Linked DNA regions of Stegostoma tigrinum. The protein of the gene in region 2 interacts with the protein of the main gene of each other region in a biochemical or structural test. Links are inferred from orthologs where the notes say so. Each region holds a gene or a part of one and is shown on either strand. Other genes may lie near its edges.

Region 1 (7,358 bases), on a different chromosome or scaffold from region 2:
GAATTGGGAAATAGGGGATGGAGTTTTTGCAGGAAGGTGGGTGGGAGGAGGCATATTCTAGGTAGTTGGGGGAGTTGGTGGGCTTGAAATGGACATCGGTTTCTAGGTGGTTGCCCGAGATGGAGACAGAGGTCCAGGAAGGTGACGGATGTGTTGGAGATGGCCCAGGTGAACTTGAAGCTGGGGTGGAACGTGTTGGTGAAGTGGATGAACTGTTCGAGCTCCTCTTGGGAGCACGAGGTGGCGCTGATACAGTCATCAATGTAACAGAGGAAGAGGTGGGGTTAGGGCCAGCGTGGCTGTGGGAGAGGGACTGTTCCACGTAACCTACAAAGAGGCAGGAGGGTCTAGGCTCAAAACATCATCTTTCCTGCTCCCCGATGCCTCTTGGCCTGCTGTGTTCATCCAGCTGTACACATTGTTACCTCAGACTTTAAATTTGATAAGTTTTTGGTATCTAATCGCCTGGTTCAAATTGATTAGCTAAAGGCAAACGCCCATTGTCTTGGTAAAACTACTGCTGGGCCTGCTCACTGTATGGGCTTTTGATGCAAACATTTCACTTCGGGTGCTTTCTGTGCACTTGCAAACTTCCAGGGTTCTGCTCACAGGCATCCATTTTACATCTCTAAGCACAGAAAAAGCACATGATCTTTTAAAGGGACCACGCAATGCCTCCCCCCACCCTCGAATTTTACAAACACCAAATTCCTGCCTCCCAATTCACACGTACTCTATCCAATTTTGCAACATTGATGATCCTTTGTGGACTTACCTATGGGCTGAGATTGACATAACCCCATAAACCCCATTTTCCAGAGGTGAAATAAAAGTGGGATTGACTGGACTACTTCACAGTATTTCCTCAACAGGCCAAACAGCCTCGTCTTGTGTCATACTGAATCAGACTCGAACACTGAGAGCCCACCATTAAATCAGAGCTGCAACTCTCCGCTGGTGTCTAGTTCAATGTTGCAAACTCTGCTCTGCCTTCCCCTCCCACCCTCCGCAAAGCCAGTTTGTTTCCCTAATCCTGTAACTACATGGAGAGCAGCCAATTATTGTTTTGGAGTCGATTCACTGCTGGTTGCAATTAAGTGGGAGCCTAAGATGGCTAGTTGTTTAGAATTCTTATAAATCTGAAGTAAATGCAACATAAAAATCCCCAACATCCTAAAACAAAAGTTGACATCCAGTTGTGCAATAAAAGCATGCACACCCCTCGTACATGGACGACAACAAATACAGCTTGCCCCTGACTAACTCACTTTATCCCAGGTGAGGTTTGAACCACAAGCTTGAGCTCTTTAGGCAATGTGCTTAACTCAAAGGAATCTCCTAGGGTTTGGGGCCAGTTTGTACCAACCAGCCCACTTCTAAAACCATGCAATATGGCGGTACACAGGCACAGGTGATTCAGCCATAGAGCTGTACAGTCTGGAAACAGACCCTGCCGTGCAACGCGCCCACACCAACAGAAAGTAATCCCCTCCCATTTGCCAGCATTTGGCCCATATGCCTCTATACCCTTCCTATTCATGTACCCCTCCAGAAGCTTTTCAAATGCTAGAACTGTACCTGCCTCCACCACTTTCCTCTGGCAGAACTACACTCTGCAGGTCCCTGTTAAATCTTTCCCCAAAACAGTCTAGTTTTGGGCTCTGCCACCCTGGGGAAGAGACCTCGGCTATTCACTATCTCTGGCCCTCATGATTTTATAAACCATGATGAGGTCACCCCTCAGCCTCCAACATTCCAAGGAAAATAGCCCCAGTCTATTCAGCCTCTCCCTATAGCTCAAACCCTCCGACCCTGGCAACATCCTTGTAAATCTTTTCCGAACCCTTTCACGTTTCACAACATCCTTCCAGTAGCAGGGAGACCAGATTGAATGTAATATTCCAAAAGTGGTCTAACCAATGTTCTGTCCAGCTGCAACATGACCTCCTAACCCCTTTACTCAATGCACTGACTATAAAGGCAAGCGTACGAGATGGCTTCTTCGCTATTCTGTCAACCCGCAACTCTACTTTCAAGGAACTACGAAGCTGCACTCTCATGTTGATAGATTACAGTTTAAGTGGTGTGAACTCCTGACAATGGGAGTACTGTAATTTAAAGTTACACCAGCAGATAAGGGAACACAAAACATTAAATATTGGGCAAATCTTATTTTACAGCACATTAAAACCAAAGCTACATAAACATTGGATTCTCAGTGTGATCACTTACCCCTTCAGGATGTTTGAAATGGAGTTCTGAAGTTTCAACACTCTACAGAGGTCCAGGGATTTCTTGTTGGCTCTGACTAGTCACAAAAATGGTGTTGTTTCACCAAAGCTAGGATTGACCAAAGTCAACCCAAGGTGGTAAATCCTACAATATGCACTGGGTAATTTCATTTACAAATAGCAGTATTTGTATCCAGCAGCTGAAGATTTTGGTAAGCCTGTTGTTTCTGCCTGTCCACAACCAAAAAAAAAAATGGATTTTTGTTTCTTTCCACCTTTAAGAAGGGTTAAGAGAAAAGCTTCATTTATGTTTTCTGACAATTCAGAGCAGAGGGTTTCTAACTCTCCCCCCCCACCTTTCCAACTGTCAGCTCCAGAACACAAGGCCTATCATTTCCTTCTCCTCTACTCACCATCTGAAGTCAAGTAAACAAGGTCCTTTCTCTTTCCCAGTAGCAGTTAACAGTGTCTGTCTGTCTGTCTCTGTATACGATCCTGTTGTCTCCCTCACACTCTGTACAAACAGTCTGGCCTGGTCTCTATCTCACTCATGCACTCCCAGCATACAGGGTCTAGGCAATCTAGCTCTCTCCCACTCCTAGTGGAGTTTTTCTTCATGTTTTTCTTCCCAGCATACAGGGTCTAGTCTTTCCCTCCCTTTCTCTTCTTGTATACAGGATCTTAGTCTCTCTCTGTCCCTCATACATACACATAGGTCTCATCTGTCTTCCTTTCTCATTCTGACAGTATTGAATATCCAGTCATCTCCCTCCAGGAATACATAATCTCAATTCTCCCCCCCTCCCTCTCTCTCTCCCCCTCCCCCCAAATACAGTATCAAGTTGCTTTCTCTTTGTTCCTAATGCCACCCTACAGAGACAAGTCTCTCTCACTATCTCTCTCTCTCACTACACAGGACCCAGTCTCTCAGCTTCACCCCAATTACAACAGTACAGATTCCAATCTGCGTGTCTCTTCTCTTACTCTTTTTTCCAGCTTTATGAAATTCAAACCCTCTGTTTTTTTCTCATTCTCTCCTTACGAAACAAGGTCCCAGCGTGCAGGATCTGGTCTCACTCCCTGCCTAACTTCCAGTCACACACGTGTCATCACCCTCTCTCCCGGGCTCAGTTAAACTCTCTGTCTCACCACCAATTCCGAGTCTTCATCTCTCTACTGTCACCCCCAGCAGAGAAAAAAAGAAACTTTGATCTGTCTTTCTTTCGCTCTGTCAATCTCCCCACAGAAGGGATTTGCTCTCCCTCTCTCTAACTACTAACACAGAGACCTTTTCCCTGCCATTCTCCGCTAACTGGAATATAAAAACTCTCTGAGCATTCCCTTCAATCACATTCAGCAGAGCGAGCATGCCTTTCCCTAACTCGCCATCAGTGCCTGCTAGCCCTCCCTGTGCTCCTCTAGCTCCGCCACTTCCGCCTCCAAAGGGATTTTAAATCTGCCGCGCTGACACTGTTACATTATCAGCCAATGGCGTCTCTGTTTCCGGGAGCAGCCAATCACAGACCGCAGCCTGGGTTTGAAGGCTGGGGGAGGGAAGGCTGTTGGCCCGCCTCCCGCTCTGGCCCATTGGTCGTTTCAGGTCGGGCTGTCTGATTGGACCAGTTGACTGTCAATCAAGCCCACGGCCCTTGAAAGCTGCGCTGGGTCCAAGCGTCTGCCTTTGAAATTGCGATGGGACTCGGTTTGTGTTTCCTCCTGTTACACCCTCTCAATAAATCCAGTCCTTTAGAATATGTTGCAGAGCACCAGTGTTATAGGTCTGAAAGCAAGCATGCCAATGGTGTGTTTGAAGGAGCAGTTCAAAAGAGGACATTTGACCCAACCAAACAGTCCCCTACAGTGTGGAAACAGGCCATTCAGCCCAACAACTCCAAAGAGCATCCCACCCGTACCCAGCCCCTACACAATCCCTGCAGCCCTGCATTTCCCACAGCTAATCCACCTAACCTGCAAATCCCTGGATGCTATGGGCAATTTAGCATGGCCAATCCTACACATCTTTGGACTGTGGGAGGAAACCCACACCGATGTGGGGAGAATGTGCAAATTTCACACAATTGCCTGAGGCTAGAATCAAACCCAGGTCCATGGTACTGTGAGGTAGCAGTGCTAACCACTGAACTGCTATGCCATCCCATTGTGTCTGTACCAATTCCCATTAACAGCTACACAACTGATATGAGCCCTGACTTTTCCCTTTCGCAAAATGTTTTCTTTTCAGATTAGATTCCCTTCTGAATCAGCTTTTCCACATGCCTGTACATCTCAGATCCACGAGCCCTGCAAAGAAGCGTTTTCTCCTTGTTACATTTGGGTTCTCTTGCCACAGACTTTATATCAGCAGTTTCTGTTTCCTGAACCTTTGACCAATAAAATCAGTTCCTCCCAACCTGTCCAGATTTTTGAACATCCCCATCAATTCATCCCCCCCAACAACAACAGATCTGACCCCTCTGATCTACCCATGGAAGTTGGTGGAATTTAAAGTGAAATTTGTAAGACTCGGAATGAGTATTAGTAATAATATTAGTAACGGCTTAGTAATGGCAGTTCAAAACAATAATTGATTGTATTTTTCAAAACCCAGGCCATTCAATAATATCCTTTACAGAAGAAAATCTGCTTATGTGCTGTCATCTACATGAGACTTCAGGTACAGTGCAGTGCAGTTGACTGTGAGGTGGCCTCTGAAATGACCCAGAAAGCCGCTTAGTTCAAGACCCATTAAAGATGGGCAACAAATGCTGGGTCTGCCAGCAACCCCCACAAGAATTTTTTAAAATATCCGCGCAGCTGAAATTAGACATCCCCCAAACCATTCCAATGTATCTTTTCTGCATCCTCTCATAGAGTCACGGAGCAAGGAAGCAGATCCTTCGGTCCAGAGTGTCCATGCTGAAGAAGTTACTCTCCTCTCTCCGGACCAACCTAAGGGGATATCCATCTTCAGTCCGCCTCCCCCTCTCTCCCTATTTATTTCAGAATCCTCTCCCCATCCCCCTTTTCTGATGAAGGGTCTAGGCCCGAAACGTCAGCTTTTGTGCTCCTGAGATGCTGCTTGGCCTGCTGTGTTCATCCAGCTCCACACTTTGTTATCTCATAATCCCAAACTAAACTAGTCCCATTTCTAATTTCTTCATGTCCTTCTTAAAGTGTGACTTTTGACTAAGTGCTTTGGGTCTACCACAATGAATGAACTATTCCAAACAAAAACATTACAGTTAATACAGGCAGAATATTTGTTCTTATGCAAAGTTCTGTTAACACTAGATTCATTGAAGTTTCAGAGCAGGCTGCTGTAGCGTCCATTTGGTGCCATAAACATTTGCCAAAGTCTGCATGGACAGTGCATGCTGTCAGTTTGCTGTTTAAAAATTTCCAAAATATATTCTGAACGCCAAAAGTCCTTTTTCTAAAAAATATAAGCGGACAACAGTTTGCGGGTAAAACACCTTCAATGCAAAGAAACATCACAAGATTCGCTCTAATTGTAACAAAATAGGATCCCTGAACAAGAATTCGGGAGATTTGGTAGGGTGAGGGAATCTTGGTGGCGAATTTGAAAGGTTTTTAAATGTAGAGAGGGAGATAGTTCAGTAAATTTATTTCTTATATACCGCTCTATACTGAGAAGAAGTGCGATGTTGAACTTTTCACATTTCTTTATTTTTCTACTTTTTACCAAAGATTTTGGACCTAAGATGGCACTGCGAATGGCAACATTGTAAACTTTTCACTGTACTTCTGCATCCTTCCGCTTGAGTACATGTGACAATGAAACCTAATTCCGAACGCTCTGTTACATACCTTGGGACAAGAATGGGGCTGTTGGAGATTATAGAGATTGGTGGAAAAATACAATGAAGGAACTTATGGATGAGTTCCAGGATGTTTAATGTGAAGATCAGTGTAACTCCAAGCAGAATTTAACACAGGAAAGAGCACATGTGAAGACATGGACCATTTGAAGTCTCTGGAAGCTGGCACAACGCCATGTAAAGAAAATGCTGGAAATATTCAGTAAGTCCAGCGGCACACTGGGGTCATAGTTATAGAGTCACACAACACAGAAACAGACACTTCGATCCAACCAGTCCATGCCAAACATAATCCCAAACTAAACTAGTCCCGCCTACCTGGTCCTGGCCCATATCCCTCTAAACATTTCCAATTTGTATGCTTATCCAAATGTCCTTTAAATGCTGTAACTGTACCCCCATCCACCACTTCCTCAGGAAGACCATTCCACACGTGAACCATCCTCTGTGTAAAAAAGAGTTTCCCATCACATATTTTCATTTGGTTGATGACTTTTCATCTCTGAATCATCCCCAGAATTGAATCTAACGGTACATTTGTGTTTGCATGGGGTGGAGACCTGCTCAAGAAATTGCGCCTTTGGAATTAGAGTGTCGTGGATGTTGTTTATTGTTCTGAAAGGGTTAGTGCTCTACAATGCCTCAAGGTGACAAACAGAGGTTGTGAACGCAGCCCAGTCCATCACACAAACTGACCTTCCATCCATTGACTCTATCTATACTTACCACTGCCTCGGGAAAGCAACTGGCAGCATCAAAGGCCCCTCCCCCACCCCAGTTATAACCTCTTCCCCCTTCTTCCAGCGGGCAGAAGATACAAAAGTTTGGGAACACGTACCAACAGATTCAAGAACAGCTTCTTCCCTGCTGTTATCAGATTCATGAACAGACCTCTCAATTATTTATATAATTTCTTTTTTATCCCTTTAGTAATGCTGTTAGAAAGACTATACATTAACCCGTATGGTGTGTGTCAGCAATCATCAGCTACCTCATCTGAAGAAGATTCAACGTCAGACTTCTGTAATTTCAATCTAATGTTGATCTGGCTTTGTGCACCCCCTGTGCAGTTGTAACCTGTCTGCCTTGCTCTGTCTAAGCATCCCATGATCTGTACGTTCTTATTTGCTATGATCTGCCTGTGCTGCTCGCAAACCACAACTTTTCACTGTACTTAGGCATATGCAACAACAATAAATCAAATCAAATCAAATCAGTCAGGAGACAATGAGGAGAAATAAACAGGGCTTTTTCCAAGTGACAGGCAGCAACCTGTGGGACACCTCAA
Region 2 (6,827 bases):
CTGATGATTCTCTTAACCCTATTCCTATCTCACATTCATTCTCTTAAAATGACCTGCCAAGTAGCTCTCACCTGGAGAGCATTTAGTATTTATTACTTGAACCATAGTCAGTCGGTTTCTATGTAGCCAAACTGCACTACTTTTGATTACACCGTATAATTTACTCCCTGCAGTAAAGGGAATCAGTTTTTGCAGTATGCCAAGGAATCACTGCAGTTCATTCTTAACTTCTTCTCCCTTCCTTTGGCTGGATACTAACAATTGGTTTTAATGCCCTTGATCAGTTATCCTTGAATCTGCCTGTAGATCTTCTGACAAGTTATTATCAAAATATAAATTGGACAATGCAACAATCTGGTGATAATTGTGACAGAGGGGAAGATAGATATGTTTGACTTGGATGTGTGTTGTTATGCATTTTGGTTCCCCCAAGAAAGCTCTACCTCATTGTCATTGTGATAGTTGCCTGTAAATTTTGAAGAAAACTTGGAAAGTTCATAATGTTAAACAACAGGTGAAGAACTTACAAAGGATCAAGAGGTTAAAATTTAAAATATCAGAAAACTTACCCGTATTAACAGGCAAAAGACCCAGGTTAAATCTTCTAGGAATAACTTTGATACAGGTTGATCCTTGCAGCTTTGACCAGTGTAATGGACAGATGGTCTGTTGAAATTCAGATAAGCCCATATGTTACAAATTTCTTCCGTACCTTGACTTTAGATGAAGAAAATTACAAGCAGTAAAACTGACCTAATGTCAGCAATACAGCATATAAAGAGGGGGGCTGGTATCAGAATTTCTCCAGATTGACAGTCTTGGCGACTCTAAAGCATCCAATTAAGTGAGAAGAATAATTAATATTCTTCACAATTGAACCACTATGGTACTGGCCAACGAGCATGATTGGACATCATAACTAAAACATGCCAAAGCCCACACTTTCCAGAGGAGGTCACGAGGCAACCACCTACAGCATGAAATAACCAGATTTTCCAGACCCACGGTCCAACAGCCTTTCTGGCCATGACATTCATTGATAGAAGCAGATAATTTCAGAATAGTGATAACACAGGTTGGGTGGAAATAGATAGTCATGCAGTATGTTCATGGCAGGTGCCCAAAACAGCTAGTCTCACCAGACCACTTTTCACGATTTCTCTTCAGAGAAAAAAAACTCTTCTAAAATCTATAACTGAGACTGCCTTCATAACATTCTCAGGCACTGCATTCTAGATTCTAACCACTTGCAGATGAGAAAGATTGCGCTTCATGTCACTTCATGTCCTTAAATCAGTGATTCTTCCAAGATCAGGAACAGTTTCACCCTATCCATGCAATTTAGGCTCATGTGGTACAGTATGGAAAGTATTTGTTGAGGTCAAATCAGTTTTACAAAGGTTCACCATAATTCCCTTGCTTTTGTATGCTTTTACAGCACAGAAGAAACAATTTAGTCAATTATGTTTAAGGAGAGAGAGGAAAGATTTAAAAGGGACCCAACAGACAACTTTTTCACACAATATGTAACAGAATGAGCTGCCATAGGAAGTGGAAGCTTGGAAAAATTACAACATTTAAAAGGCATTTGGATGGGTCTATGAACAGGAAAGGTTTAGAGGCATACAGGCCAAGTAGTGGCAAATGGGACTAGATTAGTTTAGGATAACTGTTCGGCATGGACGAGTTGGACAAAAGGGGGATGGCAATGACGTGGTTGTATTATTGCTGGATTGTTAATCCAGAGACCACACAACATTCTGGGGACCAGAATCCCACCACAGCAGATGGGGGAATTTGAATTCAATAAAATATCTGGAATTAAAACTCTAATGACAACTGTGAATCCATTGTCAATTGTCAGGAAATACCCACCTGGTTCACTAATGTCCTTTAGGGAAGGAAACTACCTTCCTTACCTGGTCTGGCCTACATGCGGCTCTAGACTCAGCAATATGTTAGACTCTGAACTGCCTCTGGGCAATTACGGATAGGCAATAGTGCTGCCAAGCCAGCAACACCCTCATCCCATGAATGTATTAAGAATGAAGATCATGCTGTACATCTCAATCGCTACATCTTTGACAGTTATGAGTCCTCAAGCCCAGTCCCATTTTTAACTATCAAAAGTACTGTGAGCGTACAGATTGTTAAATAAAAACAAAGCGCTGGTGAGATTCAGTGGGTCTGGCACTATCTTTGGAGAAATAAATATTTCAAATGCGATAGGACCCTTCTTCAGTACTGGAATGGTGATGATTTTTCCAATTCTTGGTCCGTAATTCTGTAGTTAATAGCACCACAAATACACAAGTATGTTAAAGGCACAATTCGTTCAGGTATTACGACCCCTTTGGATGCGAAAAGTTACTTACTTCACCTCTAAACCAATTATTTCAAATTTTGTCCGCGGTTAATGATCTCGCTACTCTTATAATAGAAACCGCTCTTAAACCCCCTCAGCCTCATCTAACCAAAGCAGATTGTTGGTCAACTCTACAAAAACAGGAATAAACATCGACACTAACAATTACAGCAGGTGCTACAGCCGTGAGTTTAAAAAAATAGGTTCACGTGTAGCCTTCAGAAGTTAGTCTGACGACCACCCTTCCAACCACTACCACCTCGGGCACGTCCAGGAGGCCCAGATTCAGCCCGGGCCTGAGGTTTGCCACCCCCGACGTACCCCTCGAGCCGGGCGATGGGAGGGGATCTCCCATCGCCCGGGAGGCGGTTTTTATTCCTGGTCCCCACCTGCCGCCGGGGCCAACCTGCAAGCAGCGCGGCGGCGATGACGAAGGGGCTGCTGTAACAGGCCGAGCAGCGCTGGGCTGACACAGAGAGACCAACACTACCCGTTGCCGTGCCCGCTCCCGCCGCAGTTTGAACGCCACTCGCTCGCTCTTCCCCCTCCAACCGCTCCCTCCCTGATTCAAACCCGTAGCCAATCCGCGCCGCCATTTGGATTCAAAGGGGCCAATCAAACCGGGGGAGCTCGCTGAGGTCCTTCGCCCAGCGCTTAGGTGGCCAACGAGAAAGGCGCGAAACGCCGGAGCTCAGCGGTAGCGGTGAATGGGCGGGGCCTGGAGGCGGGGCGGGGCCTGACCGTCAGTCTGCTTCCGACCGTGGGGCGGGGCCCCAGGATGGGCGGAACCTGCGGACGGGGCGGGATTTGACGATGGGGCGGGGCACGTCGATGAGGCGGTGTCTGGGGACGGGGCGATGTTCGATAGTGGGGAGGGGCCCGATGATGGGGCGGGGTCTGACCGTGGGGCGTGGTCCGATAAAGGGCGGGGTCTGACGATGGGGCGGGGCATGTCACCACTGGTAATAAAATGTGAGGCTGGATGAACACAGCAGGCCAAGCAGCATCTCAGGAGCACAAAAGCTGACGTTTCGGGCCTAGACCCTTCATCAGAGAGCTGGGTCACCACTGGGTCTGGAATCAGGCAGGGAACTTTGGAGGCGGTCAGGGACGGCCCGAAACTTGAGCGCAAACTTGGATTGTTTTTCCGGTTGCTGGATTTTTTTGTTTCGCTAAAGGTTTGAGGTGAGCGGGCGGATTTTAAATGGCAGGTTTTGGCACTGTTATTGCCTCCTGCCTTGTAAGATATTGGTTTGCACCCTGGTGGTCAGCATCTCCTGAGGTGGCTCAGGTGACCCGAAGCTCTCTGCATTTGTTGGAGAGGAAGATACTAGTCATTTTTGAACTCACATATTGGCACAGATTAGATTAGATTCCCTACAGTGTGGAAACAGGCCCTTTGGCCCAACAAGTCCACACCGCCCCTTGGAGCATCCCACCCTATAAGCCACACACCCTTGAACACTATGGGCAATTTAGCCTGGCCAATCCACCTAACCTGCACATCTTTGGACTGTTGGAGGAAACCGGAGCATGTGGAGGAAACCCACGCAGACACGGGGAGAATGTGCAAACTCCACACTGACAGTAGCCCGAGGCTGGAATCGAACCTGGTTCCCTGGTGCTGTGAGGCTCAGTGCTAACCACTGAGACACCATTCCGCCCCCAAAATTGGCTTTGGATTTGACTCAGGGGAAGGGTTTTTGGGGGATCCTCTTCTTGACCTGCTGAACTGTTCGTTTCTGGTCACATTTCCCAATGACCTTCAAAAACAGCCAACCTCAGAACCAGCCCAATCACCAAGTTGACATGGAGGGTGGGTAAAATCAGAAGAAATAGGGACTATTTCTGAAGAAGGATCCAGACCCGAAACATCAGCTTTCCTGCTCCTCTGATGCTGCTTGGCCTGCAGAGTTCATCCAGCTCCACACCATGTTATCTCAATTCTCCAGCATTGGCAGTTCCTACTATCTCAGAAATAGGGAGTAGTTGTGGGCCATTCAGCCCCTCAGATGTGTCCCCTCATTCAAACAGATCATGGAATGTCTGATTGTGGCCTCAACTCAATTTTCCTCTTACGCCCTCCTCGTGCCCCACGATCATTCAGATCTGTTCAAACCTTGTTGACAAATTCTTAGCTTCGCTTGAATGGCCCGAAAAGTGAGGTCTTTTTATGACCTTGGAATCCCTACAATGTGTAAGCAGTCTACGTGGCTCATCAAGTCCACACCAATCCCCTGAAGAACATCCCACCCAATCCCTGTAAACCTTGCATTTCCCACACTAATCCACATAGTCTGCACACTACAGGCAATTTAGCATGGCCAATCCATTTATCCTGCACATCTTTGGACTGTGGTTGGAAATCTGTGCAGACACAGGAATAACATACAAAGTCCACACAGTCACTCAAGGGTGGAATTGAAGCCAGGTCCCTGGTGCTGTGATGCAGCGGTACTAACCGCTGAACCACTGTTTTGTCTTTCTAAGGGGCTTAAACTCAGTGTGCCTACATGTCTGTTCCAAGCTGCTTTCAAAAAGACTTTCTGTTTTAAGGTTTTGTTTTCAGTTTTCAGACATGCACGCATATTATACTTGACCAGCGATAGGTATTGGAAAGGAATAAAGGATCAGATGTTTTATTAAAGCCATTTCAAGAATTATCTTATCGATAAACTCAGAACCACCTACCATGGCCAGGTGTTTATGAACAGTTCTGGCTGCACAGTTTTACAACGCACGTTCTTCTTGAGTCATTTCTCATGCAGCCGTCTGATGCTGCTAAAATAAAAAGCTCCCAATTCCCATATGTGCTGGGTACCAGGGAGATTAAAGTTACCCATGATCATTGCCGTCCCTTTATATTACAAACACCCTATATACTTTGTTACACACTGTGCCACCTTTGAGTAACATTGCTAATCATCCATCTTTATCTAACTTGCTTTTGTTTTCGAATATCATATACTTGCAATATTCAGGATCCAATCCTTCTTGTCCTGCAGAGATAATAGGAACTGCAGATGCTGAAGAATCTGAGATAACAAATGTTTCCGTAATGGCCCTCAGATTGTATTTCTTAATTTCACTGTGCACTATCAAGATATTTACTTTATTATAAATGCAGTGCAGATTCTTAAGCAGAGACATTAGTTTTGTTTTTTATTGTCTTTGTGACATTTAGTCTTGATTATTGGAGTATTCCTGGTTTATCTCTCTGACCCTCAATTCCCACATAACTGTTTACCTCTCTTACCCAGTCTCCACTTTCTGACATGCCACATCCAGTGTCTTAGTCCTCACTGTTAAATTTCACAAGAGCATTGGGTCCAGCGCAGTTCTGGATATAGACTGCCCCAAGAGTACAGTCCCCACTTCTCCCAGCTCTTGTGACAGTGGCCTACAAACCAGAACCTATATCCCCCACTCCAATCATTGAGCCATGTATTCACCTCTCTAACTTTATGTCCCCATGCCAATTTGTACACGGCGCAGGTAGTAATCCAGAGATTCAAACCTTTGAGGCTCTGCTTTTTAATTCCGTGCCTGGCTTCTCATACTCCCGGTCCAGAACCCCTTTCCTAACTCTCTCTCTGTTGTTGGTACCTACATGGACCATGACAACTGGATCCTCGCTGTTGTGCTGCAGGTCACTGTCCAGTTTTGAGCAGATAGCCTGAGTCCTGGCACTGGACAGGCAGGATAGACACCTGGACTGTCACTGTTTGCTGCAGAGTGTCAGTCCCTTTCATTGTACGATCCCCTGCTTCCACTATGTTCCCTGTTTTTCTCTTGACTCAAGTGGTTTCCTGTACCACAGTGCCAGAGTCAGTTTTTTTTTTATCCAGCCCGCAACTCCTGTTCTCATCCAAACAGGCTTAGAGAACCCCACAGCTATTGGGCAATTGCACAGACTGGCATTCTGTGCCCTGCATTCCCTTAGCTGCCTGACAAATACAGCCTACTCACCCTGAACACTGACCAAATCAGAAGACTCTATCCTAAGTGGTATGACTGCCTCCTGGTATGGGAAAATCCAGGTAACCTTCCCCCTCAGTCATACATCACAGTGTCTCTAGTTCAGCCTCGTTCATAAGCTCCCCGCTGAAGCTAAGCTCTTACCACAGACACAGTGTAGAAGCAGGCCGTTCAGCCCATCAAGTCTAAACCAACCTTCCAAAAAGCACCCCCTAACCCTGCTAATCCACCTAGCCTAAGCATCCCTGGACACTACAGGCAGTTTAGATTAGATTAGATTCCCTACAGTGTGGAAACAGGCCTTTGGCCCAACAAGTCCACATGACCCCTTGAAGCATCCCACCCAGACCCATCCCCCCATAACCCACACACCCCTGAACACTATGGGCAATTTAGCATGGTCAATCCACCTAGCCTGCACATCTTTGGACTGTGGGAGGAAACCGGAGCACCTGGAGGAAACCCACGCAGACACGGGGAGAAC
Region 3 (7,489 bases), on a different chromosome or scaffold from region 2:
AGAGTGGGAAAATAGCTATTTTTCTTCCCTTTTCCCCAAAGCCTTGCTCAAAAGGAAAAGTGATTTATAGTAAAATTTGACCCACCATGCAAACAGACAAATTGAGTTCCTGGCACACAGCATGGAGTTCCTTCTGGCACATATCAATGCTCTTTTTCAGCCGCTGCCTCAGGTTTTCTTCCTCTGCAATCATCATATCCAACAACCCCTGTGCGAAAATGGAAAAAGGAGTACAAGTCACATGCTGCAATTTGCACCAGAGGTGAAAAAGGTTGTAGATAATGAAGGTTCAATTCATTTTGACAGAATTGTTTTTTATTTAAAGATATGCACCCAACGTATTAAAAATAAAAAAATACATGCAGATTGAACAGTTCACTATGGGCAGCAAATAGGATCAGAGGATAAGTCATTCTTCAAGCCCAGAAACCACCAAGAGATATTTGGTAACACCAAGCACTCTGGACATTTACTTGCTGTTGTAAAATAACAGTAGCTTAAGAGTTTAGTGTAACTTTTATCTGGGCCATTCCAGCTAATATTCAACGGCATTTGGAAAGGGCCCCACACGTAAACACAATTAACAATGAATAACAAAATTAGCTTAGACCACAGAAGGACCATTCTGAGATTGTGTATCTCACTGTCGGAAGGTAAACCGATACTGAAATTAGAACGCAAAGACAGATTTAAAAAAAACTTGTTTCAACAATTAAGGGATGCATCTTCTGTTTTAGTAAAGCTCAAGTTAATTCTGATAATTTTTTGCTCTTGCCTTAATATGCTTTTTAACAACTTCAGTTCTTTGTAATCGTTGATCTTCTGGAATCCCGATCTCTTCCCAGATATTCCGGAGATGGGCAAGTGCTCCATTGAGACAGGTCACTGACTCTGTGGCCAGAGCATCACTGCAGAGCAGCAAAATACCAGAATAACTTATGCGTAAAATTGATTGTATCTCAAATCAATACAGAAAATCCAATAAATCAGAGCATCATCAGAAAAGCACACACAAAGGTGTTACAAAAATGAAACAGTGCTAATTATTGTTTGCTCGGGACTCTTGTCAGAAAAGCAAATACTGTTGCCTACAGCTCAGACTTTGGTCAGCACTATTTTACTGACACTACCGTTCTTGAAAGAAATTTCACTCTCTCTGGATGGAACATTCATCCAAATTAAGCATGGCCAAAATAATGGAAGAGTCCAAATCACTAGATATACAATTAGGACCAAGAGTTCAATCACAACGGTAGATTAAAGTCTAAAGTTAAACACGAAATTTTGCTGATTTTTCAAAAGAAAAACAAAAACAAACATGGGGGAGAAAAACCACTTGACCTATCGGTCTGCTCCACCATTCAATACTTCACCTTCTCCCAGACGCTCTCTCACCCTGTCCTTTCCATTCTTCCCTCCCTCCCCTCTACCTCGCACCTAACTCACCAGTCCCCTCTCCTATGCACAGGACCATCATTTTCCTCAGATCTCAAGAACTGTAGATGTTGGAGCCAGAGACAATACAGTGTGGAGCTGGAGGAACTCAGTAGGCCAGGCAGCAAAGGAGCAATAAAGTTGCTGTTTTGGGTCAGTATCCTTTTTCTGAGGAAGGGCTCCGATCCAAAATGTCAACTTTCCTGCTCCTCTGTTGCTGCCTAGCCTGTGTTCGTTTTCTTCTCCCACTTCCCCCTTTCAGTACCACTGTTTTTCTTCCATTCAGTCACACCCATCCCTATATTCCACCCACTCCTCCTTCATCCCATCTCTCCCCAATCCACACTAACCTGCCTCTTTCCCTCAACTCACCCTCTACTCCCCTCCTTCTACCCTTCCTAACACTCTTCCTTTGTTCAAGAGCAGTTCCTGAGATCTAATTTAGGGCCGGTTAAATCGCTTCATTAGACCTTGTCCTTAGTGTAGAATTCACTTTTTGCAAAATGTTCATTCTTAGAAAGAGAATTTTAAAATTGCAGATTTCTGTGCAAGAATCCTGTAGATTGCTCTACATTTGAAAGGACAAGAAACATCCTAACATCAGTGTTGCATGGGAACGCAAATAATTGTTATTGATTTAAAAAGTTTGAACGGCAAAAATGACAAGTAAAACAATGCAAAATGTCAGTCTAAAGACAGTTAAAATGAGTCAACACCTTTGTTGCTCCAGAATTTGAAAAATTTTATTGCCAATCGCTGGCTGGAGAGGCACACCCAAAGTTTAGTCAATTACACAACAGGGGAGGGGAGGGGCGCTGGGTTGGGGGGGGGGGTGCGGAGTGGCGCTGGGTGATCCGAGTTTTGGGGGGGGCTGTGGGGGTTTGGGGGGGCTGTGGGGGTTTGGGGGGGCTGTGGGGGTTTGGGGGGGGCTGTGGGGGTTCGGGGGGGGGGGGGTTGTGGGGCTTTGGGAGCTGAGAGTGTTGCGATACTGGCTCCTTGCCCTCTCTCCCACTACCCACCTGCACCCTCCCCACCCCTTACCTTTTCCTCACCATCCTGCGACTCCGCTCCCTCACTGCCGGTCAGTTTAACGGGAAATCACCGTGTCCGATCTCACTCTCCCTCCAGCTCACGGACCGTCCGCTTTCACGGTGTGTGTGTCTCTCGGACTCCCTGTCCCCGGGGGTCCCGGTGTCTCTCGGTCTCGGACTCCCTGTCCCCGGGGGTCCCGGCGTCTCTCGGTCTCGGACTCCCTGTCCCCGGGGGTCCCGGCGTCTCTCGGTCTCGGACTCCCTGTCCCCGGGGGTCCCGGCGTCTCTCGGTCTCGGACTCCCTGTCCCCGGGGGTCCCGGCGTCTCTCGGTCTCGGACTCCCTGTCCCCGGGGGTCCCGGCGTCTCTCGGTCTCGGACTCCCTGTCCCCGGGGGTCCCGATGTCTCTCGGTCTCGGACTCGGACTCCCTGTCCCCGGGGGTCCCGGTGTCTCTCGGTCTCGGACTCCCTGTCCCCGGGGGTCCCGGTGTCTCTCGGTCTCGGACTCCCTGTCCCCGGGTGTCCAGTCGCTCTCTCCAAGACCGTTGCGGCCGTTATTCTCATTAGATTCAAATTTTCCAACCGCCAGCCCGCTAAAAGTTTCCATTGGCTACGACGACGTTGCATCACAACGTCAACCGAATCGGCGCATGCGTGTGGGAGGCGGCCAATCAGTCTCTCGAGACTGTGCTGCCATTCAGTCGGATCATCGCTGATCTTACCTGTCTTTAATGACAGAAGTGACATGTTTACATCTAAATAGGAAACATAGAAGTTAGGATTAAGAATAGGCCACTCGACCCATCAGATCCGTTCCACCATTCAACATGAAGGTGACTGATCTTTTATCTCAACACCAAAGCTCCTCTCTCCGTACCGCTTTAGTCTCTACAAAACTAGTTTGTTAAAATATTTCGGAACTACACAGCCTTCAGCCTTCTGTGCCGGAGAATTCGAGAGGTTCGCCACCTGCAGTTAAGAAATTTTCCTCCTCAGTTCAAAATTTATCTCCCCCCACATGACGAGACAATGACTCTTGTTATAGACACCCCAGGCCAGGCGAAATAACCTCTACTCTGTCCAGCCATGGTCAGGATTTTATTCGTTTCAATAAGATCCCCTCTCATTCTTATAAAGTCCAGTGAATACACGGTCAGTCAACCAATCTCTCCTCTCATGTCAAACCTGTAACCGGTTCTTCCTCTCACCCATCCCTTCCTCCCACCCCAAGCCGCACCCCCATCTACCTACTAACCTCATCCCACCTCCTTGACCTGTCCGTCTTCCCTGGACTGACCTATCCCCTCCCTACCTCCCCACCTGTACTCTCTCCACCTATCTTCTTTACTCTCCATCTTCGGTCCGCCTCCCCCTCTCTCCCTATTTATTCCAGAACCCTCACCCCATCCCCCTCTCTGATAAAGGGTCTAGGCCCGAAACGTCAGCTTTTGTGCTCCTGAGATGCTGCTTGGCCTGCTGTGTTCATCCAGCCTCACATTTTATTATCTTGGAATTTCCACGGATCAGTTGAGTGAACCTTTTCTGACTCCCTCCAAGGAAAGCACATGTTTTCTCAGGTAAGGAAACCAAAACTGCACACAATACTCCATGTGTGGTCTCGTCAAGACCAGTACAGCTGCAGCTATGAAGAGTCGGACTGTACGATGAAAGGTACTCTGATTTTGATTAAAAAATAACAGGAGCATCGGAAAATAAGAGGACTAGACCATTCAGTTCCTTCCATTTATGATTGATCTACCTCTGCCATTTTAACACACTGTTGTCCTAATCCTTTATGTCTTTCTTTAAAGCAGAGAAGACTGAGGGGGTTCATGATTGAGGTTTATAAGATTATGAGAAGTTTGTACAGGGTGCATAGACAGCACTGTTCCCCTTGGTTGAGGAGGTCAGTCATGGGAGGTCATAGTTTTAAGTTAGGGGGCAGGAGACTCAGAGAAAAAAAAAATTAACATTCAGCAGGTGATGGGAGTCTGGAGTGCACTGCCTGGTTAGGTAGTTGAGCTTGGAATCCTTAAGACCTTTAAAAAATATTTCAATAAGAACATCAAATATCATAACATTCAAGGATATGGGACAAGTGCAAGAAATTAGGATTAACACATCTCTGGTGGTAGATAATGGGAACTGCAGATGCTGGAGAATCCGAGATAACAAAGTGTGGAGCTGGATGAACACAGCAGGCCAAGCAGCATCTCAGGAGCACAAAAGCGTACATTTCGGGCCTAGACCCTTCATCAGAAAAGGGGAATTGGGAGAGAGGGGGTTCTCTCCGTATTTATTTCAGAATCCTTTCCCCATCCCCCTTTTCTAATGAAGGGTCTAGGCCCAAAACGTCAGCTTTTGTGCTCCCAAGATGCTGCTTGGCCTGCTGTGTTCATCCAGCTCCACACTTTGGTATCTCTGGTGGTAGATATGTTGGTGCAGTCTCAATGGGCCAAAGGGCCTTTTCCACACTGTATTAATCCATAAGTGAATCCTTTGAAGAGTATAAGAGGTGTAGGGCCATTACCGTGTGGGAAATCAAGAGGGAAAAAGGGGGATACGAGGGCCTTGGCAGACGTAGACAATGATAGGGAGAGGTGAAATATTTACGTGCTGACTGGCCTACTTTCTTTCCAAGTTCTCTTTACATAAAAAGTGTGTCATTGACAGAGGCTTGGTGGCAAGTTGGTTGCTTGCCTCTGGCATATGGTGGCAAGGAAAATTTTGAAGTTTTCGAGTATCGCTGAAAAGAGAAACAAGTTGCTAAAGGTAACAAAGTGTGGAGCTGGATGAACACAGCAGGCCAAGCAGCATTTTAGTTTGTCTTGTGTTCATTAAGGATAATGCAAGAATTCCTAATTTCTAAGTATCGCCACGATTTATACTACAGTGGAAAAAGGGTGTAATTAGGTTAGCAAGTCAGGTTACCAATTTGTATTTGTTCTGATGAGTTCTAGCGAAAAGCTTTGGCAGCACAACTCACTTTGCAAAGATATTAAGATCTGTAACATCATGTGCCTGTTTCAGGTCTGTATAAAGTGCATACTAGCAAATTGATACAATCATGAACCTCCTCATATGTGGATATCTCTGAACAGCCTTGATCAGTATTTCATTTGCCGAACAAGCTTCCAAGCTACATTTTTGCTGGCAGTGCTGGAGAGAAGTGGGATATAAGGGGGAAGCTGGTGTTTTCTGGAAAAGTGATCTCTGTGCCTCTTTTTTAAGCTAAGAAAGCATTCAGGCAGCGTTCTAATAATTGTTGGAAGTGCCAGTGTGAAGATTTGGTCAATCTTGGCTGTGGCATCTAATGACCTTAATAATCCTGCTTACTATCTGACTTTTCACTCAATTTTTTTTCCAGAAAACATCATTTGGTACTGTGAAATGAAGAAACTGTTCAAGCCATTTCTTTATTGTCCCAGGAAAGGAGGATTTATGATGTAATTATTTATTGCCTTGGAAAAGAATTTGGCAGGAGACACTTGTTTTGTATTTGGATTTGACACTGCTCATGTAGACTCTGATTTGATTAACATTTTGATTCTGCACATACACAACAGGCGGTAGAACATAAAAGTTGTGAAAAGCCTTTGTTATCTTGGTGACTTGTAGTTGTACATTTAAGCGTTCAGAGTACTACCCAATCTGATTTTCCTAGTATCAGAGATAATGGGAACTGCAGATGCTGGAGAATTCCAAGATAATAAAATGTGAGGCTGGATGAACACAGCAGGCCAAGCAGCATCTCAGGAGCACAAAAGCTGACATTTCGGGCCTAGACCCTTCATCAGAGAGGGGGATGGGGAGAGGGAACTGGAATAAATAGGGAGAGAGGGGGAGGCGGACCGAAGATGGAGAGTACAAGAGAGTTGCAATGGGAGAGAGATTCCCTGAGGTTGGTCCGGAGGGTAACTTCTTCAGGTTAGGCATCCCTGGAAGAGGCTTCGCAGTGAGGTTAAAATAGTATCAGAGATAATGGGAACTGCAGATGCTGGAGAATTCCAAGATAATAAAATGTGAGGCTGGATGAACACAGCAGGCCAAGCAGCATCTCAGGAGCACAAAAGCTGACGTTTCGGGCCTAGACCCTTCATCAGAGAGGGGGATGGGGAGAGGGAACTGGAATAAATAGGGAGAGAGGGGGAGGCGGACCGAAGATGGAGAGTACAAGAGAGTTGCAATGGGATGCCTAACCTGAAGAAGTTACCCTCCTCCCTCCGGACCAACCTCAGGGAATCTCTCTCCCATTGCAACTCTCTTGTACTCTCCATCTTCGGTCCGCCTCCCCCTCTCTCCCTATTTATTCCAGTTCCCTCTCCCCATCCCCCTCTCTGATGAAGGGTCTAGGCCCGAAACGTCAGCTTTTGCGCTCCTGAGATGCTGCTTGGCCTGCTGTGTTCATCCAGCCTCACATTTTATTATCCTGATTTTCCTAGTGTTGGGTTAGCACCTTCAGCATTAAGTACTCGATAGATCAATAGGAAGGGTTTAGAAGGATATGGGCCAAATGCTGGAAAATGGGACTAGATTATTTCAGAATGCCTGGTCAGCATGGACAAGTTAGACCAAAGGGTCTGTTTCCAAACTGTACACCTCCATAACTCAATAAGGCTAAGGAAAATCCAAAGAGATTCTATAAGTACATTAAGAGCAAAAGGGAGACAATTAGGCCCGCTAAAGAGCAACAAGGTTGTCTACATTTGGAACCACAGGAGATGGGAGAGATACTAAATGAATACTTTGCATCAGTTTTCACTGCGGAGAAAGAAATGGAGGCTAGGGAACTCAGAGAAATAAATCTTGATGTCTTGAAAATGGTCCATTCTACAAAAGAAGAATTGCTGGAGGTCTTAAAAATATAAAGGTGGATAAATTTCCAGGACCTGATCAAGTGTATCCCAGGACTCATCGGAATTTAGGGAAGAAATTATAATCTCCAGCCATGGGTGAAGTGCTGGATGACTGGAGGCTGTTGTGTCTTTATTTAAGGAAGGCTATAAGAAGAAAAGTGGGAACTAT
Region 4 (7,061 bases), on a different chromosome or scaffold from region 2:
CTGCTAGGGGAATTGGTAGATACAGGTACAGTTACAACATGTAAAAAAAATTTGGATAAGTATATGAATAGGAAGGTTTAGAGAGATATGGGCCAAGCACAGGCAAATGGTATTAATTTGGTTTGGGGAAACTTGGCCAGCATGGACAAGGTGAAGCAAAGGATCTATTTCCATGCTGTATGACTCAATAACAAAAAAACTGTCAAATTTTATCAAAGCTATTTGTCTTGTACTCATCAGGATAATTCACAAGAATACCAGTTCGAGGCAGGGGAACCCACATTTGTTCTGGTTGGTTGGCAAGTTGATTGATTGGTAGAAACACTTCTTTTGGAAATGCAGCAGTTAAAGATGATTGACTGTTAGACTGAACTGCCAGACTCTAAATTTCAAACTAGGCAGGTTGACTCTGATTAGTTCGAACATTGCTATGAGAAATGAATCACTGCGTGCCTGTCACCTTATTTGCTGAATTAATAAAGGTTGAGTGATTATGCAGCTTTACTGTAGGCTTGGTTGTCAGTATACTTCTTTAGCAGTCCTGAAGAAGGGTAATATCCAAAACATTGACTTCTCTTTTTGTCCAAATGCTGTCTTGCGTGCTGTGTTCTTCCAGCCTCCCATGTGGCTACCTTGGATTTCAGTATCTGCAGCAAAATATTGTAGAATCACATCTAACATTGATTATCTCCCACAGTCCAAAGATGTGCTGGTTAGGTTGATTGCTCGTGCTAAATTGCACATAGTATTCAGAGAGGTGTAGCTTAGGTGGGTTATAGGGGGATTGCTCTAACATGGGACACTGTGTTGTGAATTTAGCAAGTGCGGGCTGGTTGGGTACAGTCAATACTTTCACTTGTTATAAAGTCATAGAGTCAGACAGCATGGAAACAGACTCTTCAGCCCAACTCTTCCGTGCTGTCCACGTTTCCCAAAATAAAATGATCCCATTTGCCTGCATTTGGCCTATATCCCTCCGAACATTTCGTCTTCATTGTTGTAAACAGCTGAAGGGATATGGTACAATCTGTCAGATTTTAGAGTAGATTTGCAGCTCGGGTTGTGGATGTTGTGGCTGGTTAGCTTACCGAGCTGATTCGTTGATAATGGGAACTGCAGATGCTGGAGAATTCCAAGATAATAAAATGTGAGGCTGGATGAACACAGCAGGACAAGCAGCATCTCAGGAGCACAAAAGCTGACGTTTCGGGCCTAGACCCTTCATCAGAGAGGGGGATGGGGTGAGGGAACTGGAATAAATAGGGAGAGAGGGGAGGCGGACCGAAGATGGAGAGTAAAGAAGATAGGTGGAGAGAGTATAGGTGGGGAGGTAGGTAGGGAGGGGATAGGTCAGTCCAGGGAAGACGGACAGGTCAAGGAGGTGGGATGAGGTTAGTAGGTAGATGGGGGTGCGGCTTGGGGTGGGAGGAAGGGATGGGTGAGAGGAAGAACAGGTTAGGGAGGCAGAGACAGGTTGGACTGGTTTTGGGATGCAGTGGGTGGGGGGGAAGAGCTGGGCTGGTTGTGTGGTGCAGTGGGGGGAGGGAACGAACTGGGCTGGTTTAGGGATGCAGTTGGGGAAGGGGAGATTTTGAAACTGGTGAAGTCCACATTGATACCGTTCGGCTGCAGGGTTCCCAGGCGGAATATGAGTTGCTGTTCCTGCAACCTTCGGGTGGCATCATTGTGGCAGTGCAGGAGGCCCATGATGGACATGTCATCTAGAGAATGGGAGGGGGAGTGGAAATGGTTTGCGACTGGGAGGTGCAGTTGTTTGTTGCGAACTGAGCGGAGGTGTTCTGCAAAGCGGTCCCCAAGCCTCCGCTTGGTTTCCCCAATGTAGAGGAAGCCGCACCAGGTACAGTGGATGCAGTATACCACATTGGCAGATGTGCAGGTGAACCTCTGCTTAATGTGGAATGTCATCTTGGGGCCCGGGATAGGGGTGAGGGAGGAGGTGTGGGGGCAACTGTAGCATTTCCTGCGGTTGCAGGGGAAGGTGCCGGGTGTGGTGGGGTTGGAGGGCAGTGTGGAGCGAACAAGGGAGTCACGGAGAGAGTGGTGTCTCCGGAAAGCAGACAGGGGTGGGGATGGAAAAATGTCTTGGGTGGTGGGGTCGGATTGTAAATGGCGAAAGTGTCGGAGGATGATGCGTTGTATCCGGAGGTTGGTAGGGTGGTGTGTGAGAACGAGGGGGATCCTCTTAGGGCGGTTGTGGCGGGGGCGGTGTGTGAGGGATGTGTTGCGGGAAATACGGGAGACGCGGTCAAGGGCGTTCTCGATCACTGTGGGGGGAAAGTTGCGGTCCTTAAAGAACTTGGACATCTGTGATGTGCGGGAGTGGATTGTCTTATCGTGGGAGCAGATGCGGCGGAGGCGGAGGAATTGGGAATAGGGGATGGAATTTTTGCAGGAGGGTGGGTGGGAGGAGGTGTATTCTAGGTAGCTGTGGGAGTCGGTGGGCTTGAAATGGACATCAGTTACAAGCTGGTTGCCTGGGATGGAGACTGAGAGGTCCAGGAAGGTGAGGGATGTGCTGGAGATGGCCCAGGTGAACTGAAGGTTGGGGTGGAAGGTGTTGGTGAAGTGGATGAACTGTTCGAGCTCCTCTGGGGAGCAAGAGGCGGCGCCGATACAGTCATCAATGTACCGGAGGAAGAAGTGGGGTTTGGGGCCTGTGTAGGTGCGGAAGAGGGACTGTTCCACGTAACCTACAAAGAGGCAGGCATAGCTGGGGCCCATGCGGGTGCCCATGGCCACCCCCTTAGTCTGTAGGAAGTGGGAGGAGTCAAAAGAGAAGTTGTTGAGGGTGAGGACGAGTTCAGCTAGGTGGATGAGTGTCGGTGGAGGGGGACTGGTCGGGCCTGCGGGACAGGAAGAAGCGGAGGGCCTTGAGGCCATCTGCATGCGGAATGCAGGTGTATAGGGACTGGACGTCCATGGTGAATATGAGGAGTTGGGGGCCAGGGAATTGGAAGTCCTGGAGGAGGTGGAGGGCGTGGGTGGTGTCACGGACGTAGGTGGGGAGTTCCTGGACCAAAGGGGAGAAATTGGAGTCCAGATAGGTGGAGATGAGTTCGGCGGGGCAGTAGCAGGCTGAGATGATGGGTCGACCAGGGCAGGCAGGTTTGTGGATTTTGGGAAGGAGATAGAAACGGGCCGTGCGGGGTTGGGGAACAATGAGGTTGGAGGCTGTGGGTGGGAGGTCCCCTGAGGTGATGAGGTCGTGAATGGTGTTGGAGATGATGGTTTGGTGCTCGGGTGTGGGGTCATGATCGAGGGGGCGGTAGGAGGTGGTGTCGGAGAGTTGGTGTCTGGCCTCGGCGATGTAGAGGTCAGTGCGCCATACTACCACTGCGCCACCCTTGTCTGCGGGTTTGATGGTGAGGTTGGGGTTGGAGTGGAGGGCTGCCCGTTCTGCGGGGGAGAGGTTGGAGTGGGTGAGAGGGGTGGAGAGGTTGAGGCGGTTGATGTCTCGACGGCAGTTGGAGATGAAGAGGTCGAGGGAGGGTAGGAGGCCTGGGGGTGGTGTCCAGGAGGAGGACTTGTGTTGGAAGCGGGTGAAGGGGTCAGTGGAAGGAGGGTTAGGTTCCCGGTTGAAGAAGTAGGCATGGAGGCAAAGACGGCGGAAAAACTGCTCTATGTCCAACTGATTCGTTGTTCCGCAGACAATTCATTGTATTTCATTTCAATATTATTTAAATAACAGGCGGGAAAACACAACAGCGCTTCATCAGCGGCTGCAATGTCGATGTTAGCCTGCAGGGTAATGCTATGTCTGCGGAACAACGAACCAGCTCGGCAAGCTGGCCAGCCACAACCATGTCAGATTTTAGTATCTTCTGTTAATTTTAGATTTCCAGCAGCCGTTCCTATTTATTCTGCAGCATGCACATTAGACCTTTCCGGTAGGATGGGTTTTTGATTGTTTCTTTCCCACGTAATTCCACGTGTACGCTTTTAATTGAAATGAACTACATAACCCAGAAGCCACAGTGTCCGCCTGCAGTCACGTGCCTTGCTGTTCTTCATTCCCGTTGGTGGAAGGAGACGAACCGGAAACGGTTGCTTGTTTAAATAACATCAGCCCGGGGTTGACTTCCTTTTCAGTCGCGGCCCCGTCGAGGAAGATGGCGGCACAGATCTCCAAGAAACGGAAGGTGAGCGGCGGGAGTGGGTGCGGAGCGGGAGGGCGGGAACGCTGATCGAGGAAATAAGGACGGGGGTGAGTGTGGGAGAGGACGTCGAGGGTGAACGAGGCTGGGTCGAATGCTGGCGGCGGCGGATGGAGGAGGATTGATTTGGATGGTGTCCCCTGACTTTTAATATGGCGCCGTCTGTTTTCAGTTCGTGGCGGACGGCATCTTCAAGGCCGAGCTCAACGAGTTCCTGACACGCGAGTTGGCGGAGGATGGCTACAGTGGCGTGGAGGTCCGCGTCACCCCGACTAGGACCGAGATCATCATCTTGGCCACCAGGTAAAAGAAAACAGTTAAGCGGCCGACGTTCCTAGTAGCCCTTCCCCCTCCCAGAGGGTTGGTCCTGACTGGGCCCTGTCTCTGACTGACACATTGTGTACGCCTTGTTAGCCTCTCTGACCGAACGGTGAAGGTAGTAGTTCACGCCATTGATACTGTTGCCGCTGAGAAAACAGACTGTAGGCAGTGCAACTTGAGCACATTGCACTACACTGAGATGCCAGTGTAGCACTGCAATCTGCCATCCATCAGGCGTTCAGCTTTTCTGCCCAGATGGTTGACTAAACTGTCAGTAATGGCATGTGAACTCTGCCTCAGCTGAGCTAATGAAATAGTTGATCTAGTCATTCTCTCTTTTTGCAGTTTGTGGGAGCTTTCTATGTATAGACTGGTTGCCTTGTGTGCATGCATTTCAATAGTGACTGAATTTCCAAAGTTCAGCTTCAACATTTAAGCCACAAGATAGCAACAGAAGTAGCCCATTTGTCTCTGAGCCCACACTGCCATTCATTAATATTGTAGCCAATTTGTTGATCCTCAACTCCACTTTGCCATGTTGCCTTTTTGTACATAACCTTTAATTCCCTTTTTCTTAACTTGTCTGTCTCAAAACACTTAATGACCCAACCTTGACAGCCCTTTGCTGTAAAGGAGTTCCTGAAAGAAAAGCTGTTTCCCCTTGTTTGTCTTATATGTGCAACTCCATACTGTGAGATTGTGTTCTCTGGTCCTAAATTCTGTAACCTATCAGCATACACGCTGTCAAGCCTCTAAGAAATCTGTGTTTCAATGATATTGTGCCTCATTCTCCTAAACTGAGTAGAAGCTCAAATCTCCTTTATAAGAATGTTTTCATAGCTAAGGATTAAAAGAGTGACTCTTATGCTGGTACATCTTCCCTTAGGTAAGGGATATTAAAACTGTTCATAGAATTCTAGCTATGGTCAGACTAGTGCCTTGTATAGTTTTAGCAAGTCCTTTTTGTACTGTGGTCCGTTTGCTTTCCCTGTGGCCACTTGAGGCTTGGCTAGCATTTCATTGACTTTCACACTCAAACCTCAAAATCCTTCTGTCTTTCAAATTTCTGCAATCTTTCCCCATTCAAATAACATTCAGCTCTTCTAGTTTTCCTCCCAAAGCGTATAACCTCTTTCCCACAATGTATTCCTGTATCTCTGATCTGTGTATTAGATAGCCAATCCTTTATCTATGCTAATATACTAGCCCCCATACCATGGGCTAACAAGTAGCCTTAAATGTAGTATCTTTATTGAATGCCTCTAGGCAATCCAAATGTACTACATCTTCTGGTACCCCTTTAATGACCTATTGTTGCCAAAGAACTGTAGTAGACTTGTTATGTGTAATTTCCACTTGTTTTATGCTTTTAAATGCTCTGATATTAGATTCTTTATTTAATATCTTTGAACACTACCCAATGGCCTGCTAAGCTAACTGGCTTATAATTACCTGTTTTGTCACACTTTTTTCCAATAAGTGTGTTGCATTGTCATTTAGTCCTCTGCGTCTTTTCCTGAATCTGAGGATTCTTGGCAAGTTACAAGTGCAACTGGTATCACTAGCTAGTCTTTTAAAATCACAGGATGAAACTCATCAGGTCTAGGGGACTTATTGACCTTTGGCTTTGAAGTTAAGCTCATACGTTCACTATAGGTGTGCAGAAACACATCAGTGTGTATCCAAAACCTGCTGGAGGTGAAATTGACAAGAATTACAATACCCCTCTGATCTGAACACATAGTTAAATTGATTTTTGTTTCATGTGGTTGACAGGTAATTACTTCATGAATTAAACTATTTACCTTTTCTTTGTCCTTCATGTGACTTGGTAGAACCATTTTGCATGCCATGTCTATTCCCAGTTGACATTTGTTTTTGTATAGGTGAAATTGCTACACACTCACTTGAAGACTTTAAGGTTCATCTTGTACTGTGCATTTTGAGATCGTTGTCTTAGGTTCTAGTCCATTTGGTTATGCTGCTACTTCACCATCGTGTAGCTCGATTATTGTATGATACATACTTCTGCAGCACACACCACCCTAACCTGAAAAGAAGCCTGCAGGTCAGATGTTGAAAGATGGTCTTGTCTGAAGTTCATTCACCTGTACTGTGATCTTGCAAATTTAATTCGGTCACAGTGAAAGCATTTTGATAATGGCAAGTGAAACTCTAATGTGTAGTGATTATAAGCTACTTTATAAACCTAAAGTTATGAGATGATAATCATCAACTTTTGTAATTACCTTTCATTTAAAAAGTAAATGATGGAATTATTGATGTTAGCAGCTTAACAATCCAAAGGGTCCTTAGTTACATTATTTTACTTCACACTTCAAATTTTGTAGGCCCACATTAGTTGTGTTGCATAAACAATTTGCCCAAAGTATGATAACTTCTTCTGACATTATTAGGACTCAGAACGTTCTGGGTGAGAAAGGTCGCCGAATCCGTGAACTGACTGCTGTTGTTCAGAAGCGATTTGGTTTCCCAGAGGGAAGCGTTGAGGTAAGTTACCTTTATTGAAGCACGATGTTCTCTTGATACTCATTGGCTGTGTTG

What was found.
Region 1: the proteins of cdk1 (region 2) and M-phase inducer phosphatase 1-B-like form a complex in vitro, tested with the Homo sapiens proteins (3 studies listed by BioGRID, with this or other methods). The link is inferred for Stegostoma tigrinum from reciprocal best matches to the Homo sapiens genes CDK1 and CDC25C.
Region 3: of the proteins of cdk1 (region 2) and prc1b, one has a biochemical effect on the other in vitro, tested with the Homo sapiens proteins (2 studies listed by BioGRID). The link is inferred for Stegostoma tigrinum from reciprocal best matches to the Homo sapiens genes CDK1 and PRC1.
Region 4: of the proteins of cdk1 (region 2) and rps3, one has a biochemical effect on the other in vitro, tested with the Homo sapiens proteins (2 studies listed by BioGRID, with this or other methods). The link is inferred for Stegostoma tigrinum from reciprocal best matches to the Homo sapiens genes CDK1 and RPS3.

The regions. Positions count from the first base shown.
Region 1 is NC_081366.1:76,177,503-76,184,860, reverse strand, and holds the start of M-phase inducer phosphatase 1-B-like, read right to left. Parts: upstream 3,008-7,358; 5' UTR 2,233-3,007; intron 1-2,232. UniProt on the Homo sapiens protein: Functions as a dosage-dependent inducer in mitotic control. Tyrosine protein phosphatase required for progression of the cell cycle. When phosphorylated, highly effective in activating G2 cells into prophase.
Region 2 is NC_081373.1:51,575,951-51,582,777, reverse strand, and holds the start of cdk1 (cyclin-dependent kinase 1), read right to left. Parts: upstream 3,012-6,827; 5' UTR 2,987-3,011; intron 2,908-2,986; exon of another isoform or gene 2,755-2,907; intron 2,711-2,754; exon of another isoform or gene 2,687-2,710; intron 2,650-2,686; exon of another isoform or gene 2,529-2,649; intron 667-2,528; 5' UTR 570-666; intron 1-569. UniProt on the Homo sapiens protein: Plays a key role in the control of the eukaryotic cell cycle by modulating the centrosome cycle as well as mitotic onset; promotes G2-M transition via association with multiple interphase cyclins.
Region 3 is NC_081389.1:22,225,507-22,232,995, forward strand, and holds the start of prc1b (protein regulator of cytokinesis 1b), read right to left. Parts: upstream 3,019-7,489; 5' UTR 2,490-3,018; coding exon 2,476-2,489; intron 909-2,475; coding exon 776-908; intron 209-775; coding exon 86-208; intron 1-85. UniProt on the Homo sapiens protein: Key regulator of cytokinesis that cross-links antiparrallel microtubules at an average distance of 35 nM. Essential for controlling the spatiotemporal formation of the midzone and successful cytokinesis.
Region 4 is NC_081359.1:90,805,099-90,812,159, forward strand, and holds the start of rps3 (40S ribosomal protein S3), read left to right. Parts: upstream 1-4,043; 5' UTR 4,044-4,130; coding exon 4,131-4,160; intron 4,161-4,347; coding exon 4,348-4,478; intron 4,479-6,913; coding exon 6,914-7,007; intron 7,008-7,061. UniProt on the Homo sapiens protein: Component of the small ribosomal subunit. The ribosome is a large ribonucleoprotein complex responsible for the synthesis of proteins in the cell. Has endonuclease activity and plays a role in repair of damaged DNA.